Linked DNA regions of Oryzias latipes. The protein of the gene in region 3 purifies or fractionates together with the protein of the main gene of each other region. This does not show direct contact. Links are inferred from orthologs where the notes say so. Each region holds a gene or a part of one and is shown on either strand. Other genes may lie near its edges.

The links. The genes of interacting proteins can lie anywhere in the genome.
Region 1: the proteins of ttc4 (region 3) and edrf1 purify together in Homo sapiens (affinity purification with mass spectrometry; 3 studies listed by BioGRID and IntAct, counting the BioPlex papers as one, with this or other methods). This does not show direct contact. The link is inferred for Oryzias latipes from reciprocal best matches to the Homo sapiens genes TTC4 and EDRF1.
Region 2: the proteins of ttc4 (region 3) and hgh1 purify together in Homo sapiens (co-immunoprecipitation; 4 studies listed by BioGRID and IntAct, counting the BioPlex papers as one, with this or other methods). This does not show direct contact. The link is inferred for Oryzias latipes from reciprocal best matches to the Homo sapiens genes TTC4 and HGH1.

Annotation. Positions count from the first base shown.
Region 1 is NC_019873.2:19,101,032-19,105,066, forward strand, and holds the start of edrf1 (erythroid differentiation-related factor 1), read left to right. Parts: upstream 1-1,235; 5' UTR 1,236-1,638; coding exon 1,639-1,737; intron 1,738-1,963; coding exon 1,964-2,160; intron 2,161-2,376; coding exon 2,377-2,443; intron 2,444-2,526; coding exon 2,527-2,652; intron 2,653-2,741; coding exon 2,742-2,866; intron 2,867-2,981; coding exon 2,982-3,126; intron 3,127-3,299; coding exon 3,300-3,401; intron 3,402-3,997; coding exon 3,998-4,035. UniProt on the Homo sapiens protein: Transcription factor involved in erythroid differentiation. Involved in transcriptional activation of the globin gene.
Region 2 is NC_019863.2:850,291-854,383, forward strand, and holds the start of hgh1 (protein HGH1 homolog), read left to right. Parts: upstream 1-1,293; 5' UTR 1,294-1,394; intron 1,395-1,908; 5' UTR 1,909-1,934; coding exon 1,935-2,044; intron 2,045-3,434; coding exon 3,435-3,573; intron 3,574-3,647; coding exon 3,648-3,785; intron 3,786-4,093.
Region 3 is NC_019862.2:15,622,856-15,627,111, forward strand, and holds the start of ttc4 (tetratricopeptide repeat protein 4), read left to right. Parts: upstream 1-1,456; 5' UTR 1,457-1,751; intron 1,752-1,866; 5' UTR 1,867-2,304; coding exon 2,305-2,412; intron 2,413-2,502; coding exon 2,503-2,620; intron 2,621-2,744; coding exon 2,745-2,906; intron 2,907-3,005; coding exon 3,006-3,083; intron 3,084-3,178; coding exon 3,179-3,303; intron 3,304-3,374; coding exon 3,375-3,461; intron 3,462-3,546; coding exon 3,547-3,779; intron 3,780-4,256.

The sequences.
Region 1 (4,035 bases), on a different chromosome or scaffold from region 3:
AGCACGAAGCCTTCTGTTAAAAGCGATTGCTACCAGTTATGTTAATAAAAGACGTTAACACAGCACGTTCATACTGAAGAGAGTTATACCCTGCAACTCTAAAACATTACATACTGTGACGACCCAGAGTTTGGACAGAGCTGCAGGTGGCCGGCGCCCCCCTCTTTCTGCAAGATGCTAGACCACAGTGTGTGTCAATCAGCGGTGGGCTGATGACTGGTGGGAGAGAGGGGGCGGGGTCTACCTGTGGGTGTGTGTGCGTGTGCGTTCGGTGAACGTTGTCGCTGGAGTTAGAAGAAGCTCGCTGTGCCTGTTGGTTCGTGCTGTAACCGTTCTGAGATACAGAAACATTAATAAAGAGCTGTTTGACAACCGCCCGCCTAAGGAGCTTCCTTGCAGCTACTACAATACTTAAGTTAACGAGGTCTTAGTTGGTCTCACGTCTACGCAGTACACGGCAGGCTCATTCAGTAACAAAAAAATAAATTAAATCGATATGAAACTCACGTAAACTATGTTTTTCATAAGTATAACTTACTTTGTCATTCCTCATGGTGGAAATTCTGTCCTCTGACACATTTCTATCCCTTAAAAAGGAATAAAGAGGCTCCCGCTGATTCTCCATCTTTTCCCACAGGTCATCAAGACGAGAATGAAATGTCCCGCGAGAAGATGACGTTTTACTGTAAACAACTATGTCGTTATTACGAGAAAGTATGTCGTTATAACGAGATACTTTCTCGTTATTACGAGAAGCTGTTCCAAAAAATATTTTTCGCAGTGGCAGCTCAGAGCTTCCGTAATTTTGGAATAAAGTATTCCAAAATACATTACAAAATCATATATTTAGGCATTTGTAAGTTTTTTAAATGTTTTATACGAATACAAAATTTATTTTAAAATGTTTGTAATTTATCATAACAGTGTAAATGCCAAAATAATAATAATAATAATAATAATAATAATAATAATAATAAAAATAATAATGATGACCACGCAACAATTACATGGGGTATAATCATTAAAAGATAATCGACCAACATAGACTGCAAATACTTCCGGTTCAAGATTTTTGTATTTTAGATTTTTAACAGAATTTATTTTTAAATGCATCATTTTACGTTCTAAAATATTTTTGTGAACTTACTTAAAAAAAATTCAAAACATGTTCCACTTCAAAACGTAAAAATACAATCAATGTTGCATTTGGCATTCCTCCAACCGGAAGTCGTTGTTTGTTGACTGCTAAGAAGCGAGTTGGATACAGAAGAGAGGCAAAACAGTGTAAGTTGGGGTTCTGTTGAGCGAAAATAGTGGGAGAAGTTTGAAAGTATAAATTATTATTAATGTGGAGGATATAAAACTAACCATGTGTTTTAGTTGATGTGATTTGAGCTGAATCGTTTTTCTACCTTTGCTAGTAGTGCGGTTTATTTTAGCCTCGCAAGCTCTGGAACTATCTAGAAAGAACCCTGACTTTCTGTTACTACAGATTCGTGCGACAGGTCAGGAGGCAGATCATCGAGTCGGAAGAACGATACGTCATTATCTTAACACCAATTACATATAATAATGTAGCTGTTCGACGAATTATTTCGCTAATTTAAGCGGGAATAATAAAGTGTTGTAGAAAAAAAAATGAGCTCAACAGCTGGCGATGACAGAAATCCTGGGATCCTCCTGGATAATGATAAAGACATTGGAAGTCCTGCCTGCTCAGAGGATTGCAGCAAACGGGTAAGCAACATAAAAGAATGAGCTATATAATTGTTTATATTAATATGTTGTGTTTTTATGTCTTGTTTATACACTAACAAGCAATCCTTGTTTCTATTAGGCTTATTTATGCAGTTATTAGACCTTATTACATAGTCATAGGAAAAATAAACTAAGATTTGTACTTCAAATGTCTGCCTCTCCTGTTTAATTAGAACATGAATGTTTTTGTCTCCTGCTTCACCAGGATCCCACTATGTATTTGGGAAATGGAGAAGTGAAGAGTAGTGCTGTGGTCAAGTACTCTGCTGCCCCCCCCAGCACTTATGCCCTCCCTGAGGAGAAGACGGACCTGAAGCTGCCACCTGCCAACTGGCTGAGGGAAAACCCCCAGCTTGGCAGCGCTGTTTTAGGGTCAAGCAGCAAAAGCAAGCCCTTTTCCAGGTTCCTCATCTATTTCTTAAAGATCCAGTCCCTGAATGATGACATATGACCTTAAGATTTTTGGATTTAGAGTACATTGGGAGGTCCAAATTACATTTTAAAACGTTTTATGTATTTGTTTGAACCTGAAAATCTATTTCTTTTTTTTTCTTTTTAATAACAATTAACCAATTTAAACACATATTGATGTATCACATTTCTTTGTTTTCATTTTAGTTTTGGAATTGCCTATGACTTCATTGATTGTATTGGGAATGGTGTTGATGTGGTATCAGACTCTGAGGTTTGTGGAGAGTTTTCCTTTTTTTTACCTCTCTGACATTTGAAGACATGGCAGACTTTAATGATGGGCTCTATCATCCTCAGAACATCAAGAAACTCTTGAAGATTCCTTACAGCAAGTCCCACGTTAGCATGGCTGTTCACCGGGTTGGAAGGACGTTGCTTGTAGACGAGCTGGACATTCAGGAGCTTTTTAGAAGATCCTCTCAGGTAGATTTGAGGGTGGATCCCTTTTCTACATTCTTCCATTTATATTTTATTTTTGACAGTAATGTGTTTTTTTTTAATGCAATGTTTAGACAGGAGACTGGACATGGCTTAAAGATTTTTACCAGCGTCTAAATGATCAGAAATGGCAGCGGAAGAAAAAGAGTAAAGAGCACTGGTATCAGAAAGCCATCCTGTCAAAGTTTCTCTACTACAGGTAAGTTTTTGTTTAGGATAGTGTTAGATATAATTTGGTGCAATGTTCTACTTAAGGGCGTGTTTCTTGTTACATAATCTGTCCAAAAATCACATGTTTTTCTTTGTTTCTGCAGCATAAATGGTGATGGGGCTGCAGAGCCTGTGTTAGACAACATGAATGAGGGGGATGATGACAAAAATGCTGAAGAGTGCAGCTCCTCGTGGCCTGCAACCTTTACCAGCCCATCAGATGCTCAAGAATCAGAAATTCCTGAACAGGTAGCTTTACTAGTGAGCTCAATAAGTATGGTCGGGTCAAAAAGCTGTTTTCAGACAGTGAGAATTTTTGTGGCGGGCAAGAATTTTTTTTTTTTTTTTTTTTAGTTTGTTTTCAGTTCAATTACATAATGCCCAAAAATATAATGAACACACTGATGCCTTTTGATACTCAGGAAGGTGTTTCTGCGGACAGTAAATTTGCTCTGGGCCAGGTGACATCAGTATTAAAAGAGCAAAACCTCCCTGCTCTCTTCAATGAAGGCGAGAACAGCCAGGTAACAAAGTTCTATTCAAATGTCTGGAATTTCACCACAAACAAGAGCTGGATATTGTTTTTATTTTCAAAGATTATTCAATGTGTTTATAATTTCGAAATAAAAAGGAAAGTTTAAGAAATATTTAACCGTTATTTGCATTCATTTAGCTTTGATCGACTCAGGATATTAAATGACTACTCCGGCCACAAGGTGGCAGTATTCCTTATCATTATGACTAGGTGCATATAAAATACTATGAAGAGTATAATAATAGAACAACACAGCGTCACCTAAGAGTGAAGAGATATAAGAAGCACCACTGAGGGTTGCAAAGGATATGAGGTGAAAACACATTTGTGAGGTTTTTTGTTTATTTAAGCTTTGAATTTTATAAAGATCAGCACTATCTGATATACTTATGTTTAAACACTTTTCATACTGGATTTGATGTATTGTTCGCGTATTTTTATCAAATGAATTGATTGGAAAAAAGTACAAGACTGTGTTTTATGGAAAAATGGGGGGAAGATTGTTGAAAAATTAAACAAAGATTGTGATATTGATTACTGTTAAATTCTTTCTGTACAAGTTTTGACGACTTGCATTCTTTGCAGGGTTTAAGGAATGACTTTGTGCGAAACATCATGTGGAC
Region 2 (4,093 bases), on a different chromosome or scaffold from region 3:
TGTCACTTAATTAAAATTAAAATGAAAATGGTATTTGACATTTCATTTTCAAGACGTTCCATGGTAAATGTGTAGCATAATTCATTTAGAAATGTCTAATTTGACAATTAAAATGGATTAACAGAAATGCTTTTTAATTTTCAAAATGTAGCTGCATTTTTTGACTCAAAATTAAAAAGAAAAAGCAATACTTCAAAATGCTTTATCATTTTATACCTAAAACCGCTTATTCTGTGTCATAATTAAAACGAAAATGCAAAGAGGGGATTGCATTTGCATTTTAACATCCACCCCGCGCACCTTGTCACAATATTCATTTCTTAAAAGCATTAGCAGAGGGGAGGCGGGGCGATGACGTCACTGCTTTCTCCGTGTGTCCGGCTGCTGACTGACGCACACACACACCAGGAGCAGACTGTGTTAGCGGCAGAGACGAGGGTTTTGTGATGGTTGTGAACTTCTGATGAGTTTCCACAGCTTCTCAGGACTACATAGCAGCATGTCCGCCTTCTGCGGTCCTCCTCCTGATGCACCGCGGACAAGCTTTTGTTCTTCGGACCGCCAGCTGCCTTCGCATAGCGGAGCGCGAAGCTCCGATGATCGCTGAAGGCGGAAATACTGCTACGATCTGAGAAACCATCATATGGATTTGTGTTTCCAGTGGTGTCCAGAACTGGTGCGTGGGTGTGCGTCAGTCAGCAGCCGGACACACAGAGAAAGCAGTGACGTCATCGCCCCGCCTCCCCTCTGCTAATGCTTTTAAGAAATGAATATTGTGACAAGGTGCGCGGGGTGGATGTTAAAATGCAAATGCAATCCCCTCTTTGCATTTTCGTTTTAATTATGACACAGAATAAGCGGTTTTAGGTATAAAATGATAAAGCATTTTGAAGTATTGCTTTTTCTTTTTAATTTTGAGTCAAAAAATGCAGCTACATTTTGAAAATTAAAAAGCATTTCTGTTAATCCATTTTAATTGTCAAATTAGACATTTCTAAATGAATTATGCTACACATTTACCATGGAACGTCTTGAAAATGAAATGTCAAATACCATTTTCATTTTAATTTTAATTAAGTGACAGAATAAGCTGTGTGGAGGAAGGAAATGAAAAAGCATTTTGGTGGATTGCTTTTTCATTATATTTTTGAGTCAAAAAATGCTTTTTCATTTTGAAAATGTAAAAGCATTTCTGGTTTTGACTTTGCTTTTTATTTATGCTACATAATCGCTTCCATATTAAAAGGCCCCCGCCCGGACAACATGAATGTGTTTCATGCAGTGGCCACGAGAGGGCGGTAAACGCGCTGGAGGACGTCAGGCTCCATCAGAAGAAGAAACCCGGAAGTGGGGATCAGCGCCGCGCGGTGTGTCACAGAGCTGCTGTCGTTAAGGTAGTGCGCTTCACCTGCATGTTCATCGATGATCGAAATTTTAGTCTTGATCGCTGGATTCCTTTTTTATTTTTTTTATTCTTACCTTTCAACCACACACGTGACGCCGTAGTTTTTTTCTTCTTCTATTAGATGAAACACAGTTTGAGAACTTGTAGACAGAGCGCGCGGAGAGCCACATTACTGAAGCCCCGCCCCCCGAATTCATCATATTTCACATTTTCAAAAATCAGATGAAGGTTTCACAAATCAGAAAGTGTTTCATGTATTCTTTACTATCTAAATGATACTTTAATCATTTATCCAGGCTTGAGCAGCCCTGGTCCTGTGGTTTTTGAACAGGACACGGTCGGTCCTCCTAGGTCAGTGGTCTTAGTTTGAAATGCAGGGGAATACTCTTTCCTCACGAATCGAAAGCTGTGAATAGGAAGCCAACTCCAGCGTCGTCACCAGAGTAGTGAATGTGAGGAAAGCTGTGCTGGTTATGAACGTTTTGCATTGGTCTCATCATCAGCATCCCGTTTTTGTGGTTTGGAGAAGATGCTGAGTGATGGTGAAGCTGCAGAGCTGCTGTCCTTCCTGACCCTTGGTACCCGCCCCGATGTGAAGGCCAAGGCCACCGAGTACATCCTGGGACTGTCTGCCAGCAGGTGATGAAGACTATGGTGGTGTCAGTGTTCCCACCTGCTGCTTAAGGTCCAAAGAACACATTCATGAATGATTTCATGTGTCTTCAAACCCTTAGAGCTTTTCTGGAATGAAGCCATTAGCTTTTGTCGAGTCCTTTTCATACAGATAAAGCCAGCTAGAGAGCTTTGCAGTGACCAGTTTGCCAGCAGGTGATGAACGTATGGGTTGATGCATCTGCACAAAGCCTGCAAATCTGGGAAGAGCATCATAGTGAGCTCTATGTTTTTGCTGCAGAGTCACATGTTTTTGTTTTATTTGGAGCTTCAGGGCAGATGGTTAGAGGAGGGTAGATGTCAGCTAGAGCTGCACTAAATGAGGAAAACTTGCAATTTGCAATATTAGTGTTCAATATTGTGATGACGATATAACCTGCGATAAATTAGCAAATAGCAGAACAACTAAATACATCATTTCCATTTCTCTGCAACAGTTGAATTCAAATAAGTCAACTTATTAACCCAAATTACACTCCACTGTCTACATAGGAGGCAAACATCTAACATATAAGGGGTCCTTCTGATTGGTCGACGATGTAAAGGAGTCCATCTGATTGGTCAAATGCATAAAGGGATTTATTTGGTTCGTTAAACACTTCAAGCTGCCATAAGATAGTTTGAGGACATTTAAGATGATCATTTATCACAATTTTCATTGATTTTTACACTGTGCAGGCCTAATGGCAGCTCTTCCATTTGTTTCTCTTTACAGCAATAAAGACATCTTTTTCTAAAAGAGAAGCTGAGCAAAAACTGAGTTGATCTACAGTTGTCACCCTTAATGGTGCAAAAAGTATTGTCAGTCTGGGATTCTGCTAGTTGTTCCACTTAAAAAATGACTTTGGTCTGTAATCTTTATCATAGATACAATTATGAGACAGAATGTGAGAAAAGAATCCAGGACATCACATTGTTTGATTTTTAAAGAATACAATGCAGCAGAAAATATGGATTTGTCATAAATAAAGGTTCACCTCAATACTTGTACTGTACTTCTGTTATCAGTGACTGAGGTCAAAGGTTTCCTTAAGGTATTCACCAGGTTTGAAGAGTCTGCTGCTCCTTTGGTCCCCAAGGGCTGTAATGTGTTGGGGCTGTTATTGGGAATCATACTGTCAACTCCCTCCACAGGCTCTCAGTTGGAATGAGGCCCCCAGCCTCTTTTGGCCATGAATCATTTTAAGGGCAAACAATATTTACACAGCAGAGCTGGCTTGGTGTGTGGGAACACCTGAGACAGTGAATCCATGTTCGGGGTAAAAACGTCTGTTAAATGTAGCTTTCTTTTTCTCTGAAGTCAGGTTCCATTTCCATTCAATGCTGTGTTCCATGCAACATTTCTATCTGCCTTCAGGGAAGGGTGCTGTTTCCTACGGTCCAAACCGGACTTGGTCAGCGCCCTCTTTGCGCTGACCTCTGACATCTCTGTTGCTATAGCGAAGGACTGCTACCACATCATCATCAACCTGTCAGCTGATGAGACTCTGCATCAGGTCAGACCTGGAATAAAAGTTCCAGCTGGCTAATGTTTTGGACCCTGTTGTGAAGTGTCTCGTGTCTCACCCAGGTTTTAGTGTCAGACGGTAAAGTTCTTCCGGTTCTATTGAAGAAGCTTCTGGATCCAGATTACCTGTTCTCTGATCAGATCTGCACCATCCTGTCTAACCTGACACGTCACGAGAGGACCTGCAAGACGGTATTCAAGGCGAGTGGCGGCTGTTACCCAGCAACACTTCTAATCTTGCAGCGTTTCACCAGACAAGGACAGGAAAATGAAAGCTGAAGTCCTTTCTCTGTCCCACGTCATGTCCTGGTGCCACAGGTCTCCATCCTTTTCCTTCCTTTGTTTCTTATTTGGATGAAACGTTGGGTTATGTGGTTAGTCATGATTATCGGCAGTGCCTTTGCTGTGTTTTTCATTTTTAAAGCATCTGTTCAAGCCTTGTTTTGGGACCAGAACCATTGTAAAAGTACTGGTTTGGCACCGGCACCAGAGAAAGTCCAAACGATTCA
Region 3 (4,256 bases):
CACAATAAAAGCAGGTACCTTCCTCCTTACGTCGACGACGTGTTGATGACGTGTCGATTATGCCTGAATCCATTGGAAACCTGCAACAAAAGTTCAGTCACTGAGTCAGAAATGTATAAATCTATATAACTATATTAGCCTAGTCCTAGTATACTGTTTATAAGTTTAACTAAATAAAGTTTACATTTATGTCAACAGCAATTATACGTACTTCATGTAGCATGTTGATAATAGCCCTGCAGCATCATGCATGCCAACGTGTGTTCTATTAATAAAGCCCCTCCAGCAGTAAAAGAAAAAATTATAGTTCTTACCTGTGAAATGTTCTGCCTTCGTCCTTTGTGGACTCTGATTTTGGCAGTTGAAACTTGCACAATGAACTGGCATTTAGCAAAAAATGAGTTCACATGCATGCACTGCAGCAGTAACTTGACCTCACCAAGATGGCGGTGCTCCCCTCCCATGAGGAATCACGTGATGTCTCCTCTAGCGATATAACTCATTGGTCCTACGTGAGAAAGTGCTACAGGAACATTATAGAAACAGAAAAATAAAAAATAATAATAATAAAAAAATTCTTTGGAGTGTTCATTGGAGTGAGTCCTTAAGTTATGGGGTTTTGTTAGATAAACATTTTTATTTTTCTGGTAAAGGGCATTTCAACTCAAAGAAAAACTTTTGAGCTATAGCAGAATCTGGACTCATCGCTGACTATAGAACGTTTTTGCACATATTTATTAGAGCCTCGTGCGAATGTAATCAGGCAACTGATTGGTTACACCTGTGGATACCTGACAGTGCCAGATTGGGGAATGGACATAACGGTGTGGGTACCGGATGTTCTCGGGTTGCCGGATGTTCTCTGGGTCCTTCGGGGTCCTTCGACCAATGATGACGTCACACTATTTGATTGGCTGTAAGTTGCCACGACCAATGAGTTAACGTCGCTAAGTTTTTTTAAAAACTTTATTGACAATTGCGGTATCATACATTAACAATGACATAAACGTTAACAACGAACAATAAAGATGTAATCAATATTGCCTCGAAGATCAGTCACCATTGCCAAATATAACATATTGACATAGAAAATAAAGAATAGAGGGGAAAAAAAGAAACAATGAACATAACACACAAATAAATAAAAACATAAGTAAAATAAAATAAAGGAACATAGAAAAAATCTAAGTAGTCTAATACTAGTTAAGTTAGGGGTACTCGTGAAGTTTTTATTTCTGAACAAAACTAAGCAATTTCAAGCCATTCTTCTTTTTCATATAATGAAGTGATTGAAAGCAAAAACAGAGCTCTTTATTAAATGTTATAAAAGTGGTTTGGTCTTCAAAACTTGACCTCACCAAGATGGCGGTGCTCTCCTCCCATGAGGAACTACGTGATATCTCCTCTAGTGATATAACTCATTGGAAGGACCCTGAAGGACCCCGAGAACATACGGCAACCCGAGAACATCCGGTACCTACAACGGCATCTGTGGTCACGAAAAATGTAAACAACAGAGACTTAACTGTCTCACCAAATATAACTTAGTAATATTTCTTTGTTTTTGTTTATTTAAAACCCGCCCCTCCTCTTTTCACGTTGCATAATTTAGAAAAAAAGACCTTAAATGCAGTTAGCAAGAAAAACGGATGGGGCTTTTGGGAATTTGTGCATTTTGATACATGGAAACAAAAGGAAGAGTTAAACCATCATTTTTGGGGAAATTAAAGGAGGAAAAGTGACAAACATAGGTAAGTACAGAAATAAATTGGTCATGTTGGAGCAAAACTTCATCATAAGACAAACAAGCTTATCTAATTTGGTGCAATGTAATTCTGATTATCTTTTATTTTTATTTATTTATAGGGGATGTATTTTATTTCTTCTATTTTTCTTTTTTAACCTATTTAAATAGATTTTTCTGCATAAGAGAATATCATTTTGAATTTGAGTGGTAATTACAACAATTTTACTTTGTTACATCAGAAAATAATATCTCACTGTAATACTTTCCTTTTTAAATTCGCAAATCCCAACTAACATTAGTTAGTTCTCTGCCTAAACAAGATTGTGAATAAAGAACATTTTAAAAGCGAGCTTATCTGGAGGTGGAACCAAAGACATGCGTCATGTGATTCCGCACGGACCTTTCATTCTGCAGTACGGTTGGGAACATGTGTAAACAAGAGGTCTAAAGAACATTTTACACTGGACGGCCTCTGGTCTTGTTTCACCTCAAATAATCGGCGTATTGACGATTCGTAATTGTAACATTTTGTTGGAGTATACATATTTTTAACAAAAATGGCGGCAGAGACTCATGGCGACAGTGACGATGGCATGGACGAGTTCATGGACAAATTCAAGACGCAGAGATATAAAAACGCCTTCAGTGAAAAAAACTGGGAGCAGGTAAATCAGCAATTGGAACTTGGTCTTTGACAATTAAACTGACGCCGTTTCAGGTGATGAGGCTAACTTGCTGATGTATTTAATTTTCAGGAGTTTAATAAAATCCCAATGTTCATGAAAACAGCTCCTGAAGAAATAGACCCTAAGAATTACCCTGAACTGGCTTGTCTCCAGTCAATAATCCACGATGATGACCGATCTCCAGAGGGTGAGCCAGTCCTCGACATAATGACTAATCTACTGTCAATTTAATAATTATCATGAAAATGATGGGGTCTGATTTAATTTAATTTTTTTATTATTTTTTCTTCTTTTTCTTATCTAATTTGTAGAACAAGCAAAGAGTCTGAAAGATGAAGGAAATGCGTTTTTCAAGGAGAAGAACTACAAGAAGGCCATTATTTCTTACACTGGAGCTTTAAAGAAGAAATGTGGGGACCAGGAACTCAATGCTGTTCTCCTCACTAACCGGGCAGCTTCACACTTCCACCTGGGTACAAATTGATTTACTGTTTGAGATAAATTGAATTAATTCCTGATTTTTAATGGATAACAAATGTATGATGTTAAAATGTTTATTTTGTGCCATGCAGGGAACATGCGCTCTGCACTGAATGATGCTGCAGCTGCAAAAAAAATCAAGCCGGGCCACCTTAAAGCCTTGATCAGAGGTTATTAGCACTTAATGTGTAACTAGTACCAAAAAAAAAAATATCCAACTGTTCTACCAAGTGCTGACACAGAATGTGTGATTTGGGGTCTATAGGTGCTCAGTGCTGCATTGAGCTGCGCAACTTTTCAGAGGCTCTCCAGTGGTGTGACGAGGGGCTAAAGGAACATACCACCGATGAGAAGCTCAGAGAGCTGAGAGCTACAGCAGATAAACACAAAGTAGGTCATGAACTCAGAAAGATGCTTTTAAGAGGAGGTTGAATCAAAGGTCTCCATTTTTCGTTTCTTAGAGAGCAGCGGAGCGGGACGCCAGGAAGGCTAAAGTTAAACAAAAGAAGTTGCATGGTGAAAAAGAGGCTCTGCTGACAGCTATACAGGTAAATGCAAGCATATTATTTCAACAATTCTTTATCGTAAGTCCTATTTCATCAATATTAAAGTAAGAGTTTTTTCCTTCCAAAGAACCGAGGCATAAAGCTTCTCCAGTCTAAGAAGCCTCACCTGAAAGGTTCAGAAAGTGAGGATGAATCTTCAGCAGCCATGGAGCAGCTGAGGTTGGACGGCCTCAGTTCTCAGGAAGTCACTGGGGCTCAGGTCTTCCAGGATGAGAAGGGCTTGTTGCACTGGCCTGTTCTCTTCCTCTACCCTGAGCATCAGCAGAGCGATTTCATCTCTGCTTTCTGTGAGAATGACTGGTAAAGTATCTTTTTTCAAAGGTTTTGGCTTCCTTTTTAGGTGTCATCCTGCTTAATAAATATGTATTAAAAACACAATATTATTCAATTCATTGTTCTAAATATTAGAAAGTTCTACTATAATAGTTATTGTACAAAGCTTCACAAAATACTGTACTTTAAAAGCAGCAATTAGTTGTTGAAGATTCTTGTTCATCTGGTGAGGTTGTCTTAAGGTGGAGTCATAAAAAGATGGACTTACTGTCTTCAAAAAAGAGAAGAAAATAAATCATGATGCTATTATAAAACTTCAAGACATGGCACAAACATGCCATGTTATCTAATACGTCTGTTTTTATTATTACATTACTATTTTTTTATTTCAGTAGTTTATGAAGAAACATTTAGAAACTATTTTCCCAAAATTTCTTTTAAGTGATGTTATTGCTGAAAATGTCCACAGGTGGGAGCTGTAATCAAATTCTAAACATTTCACCG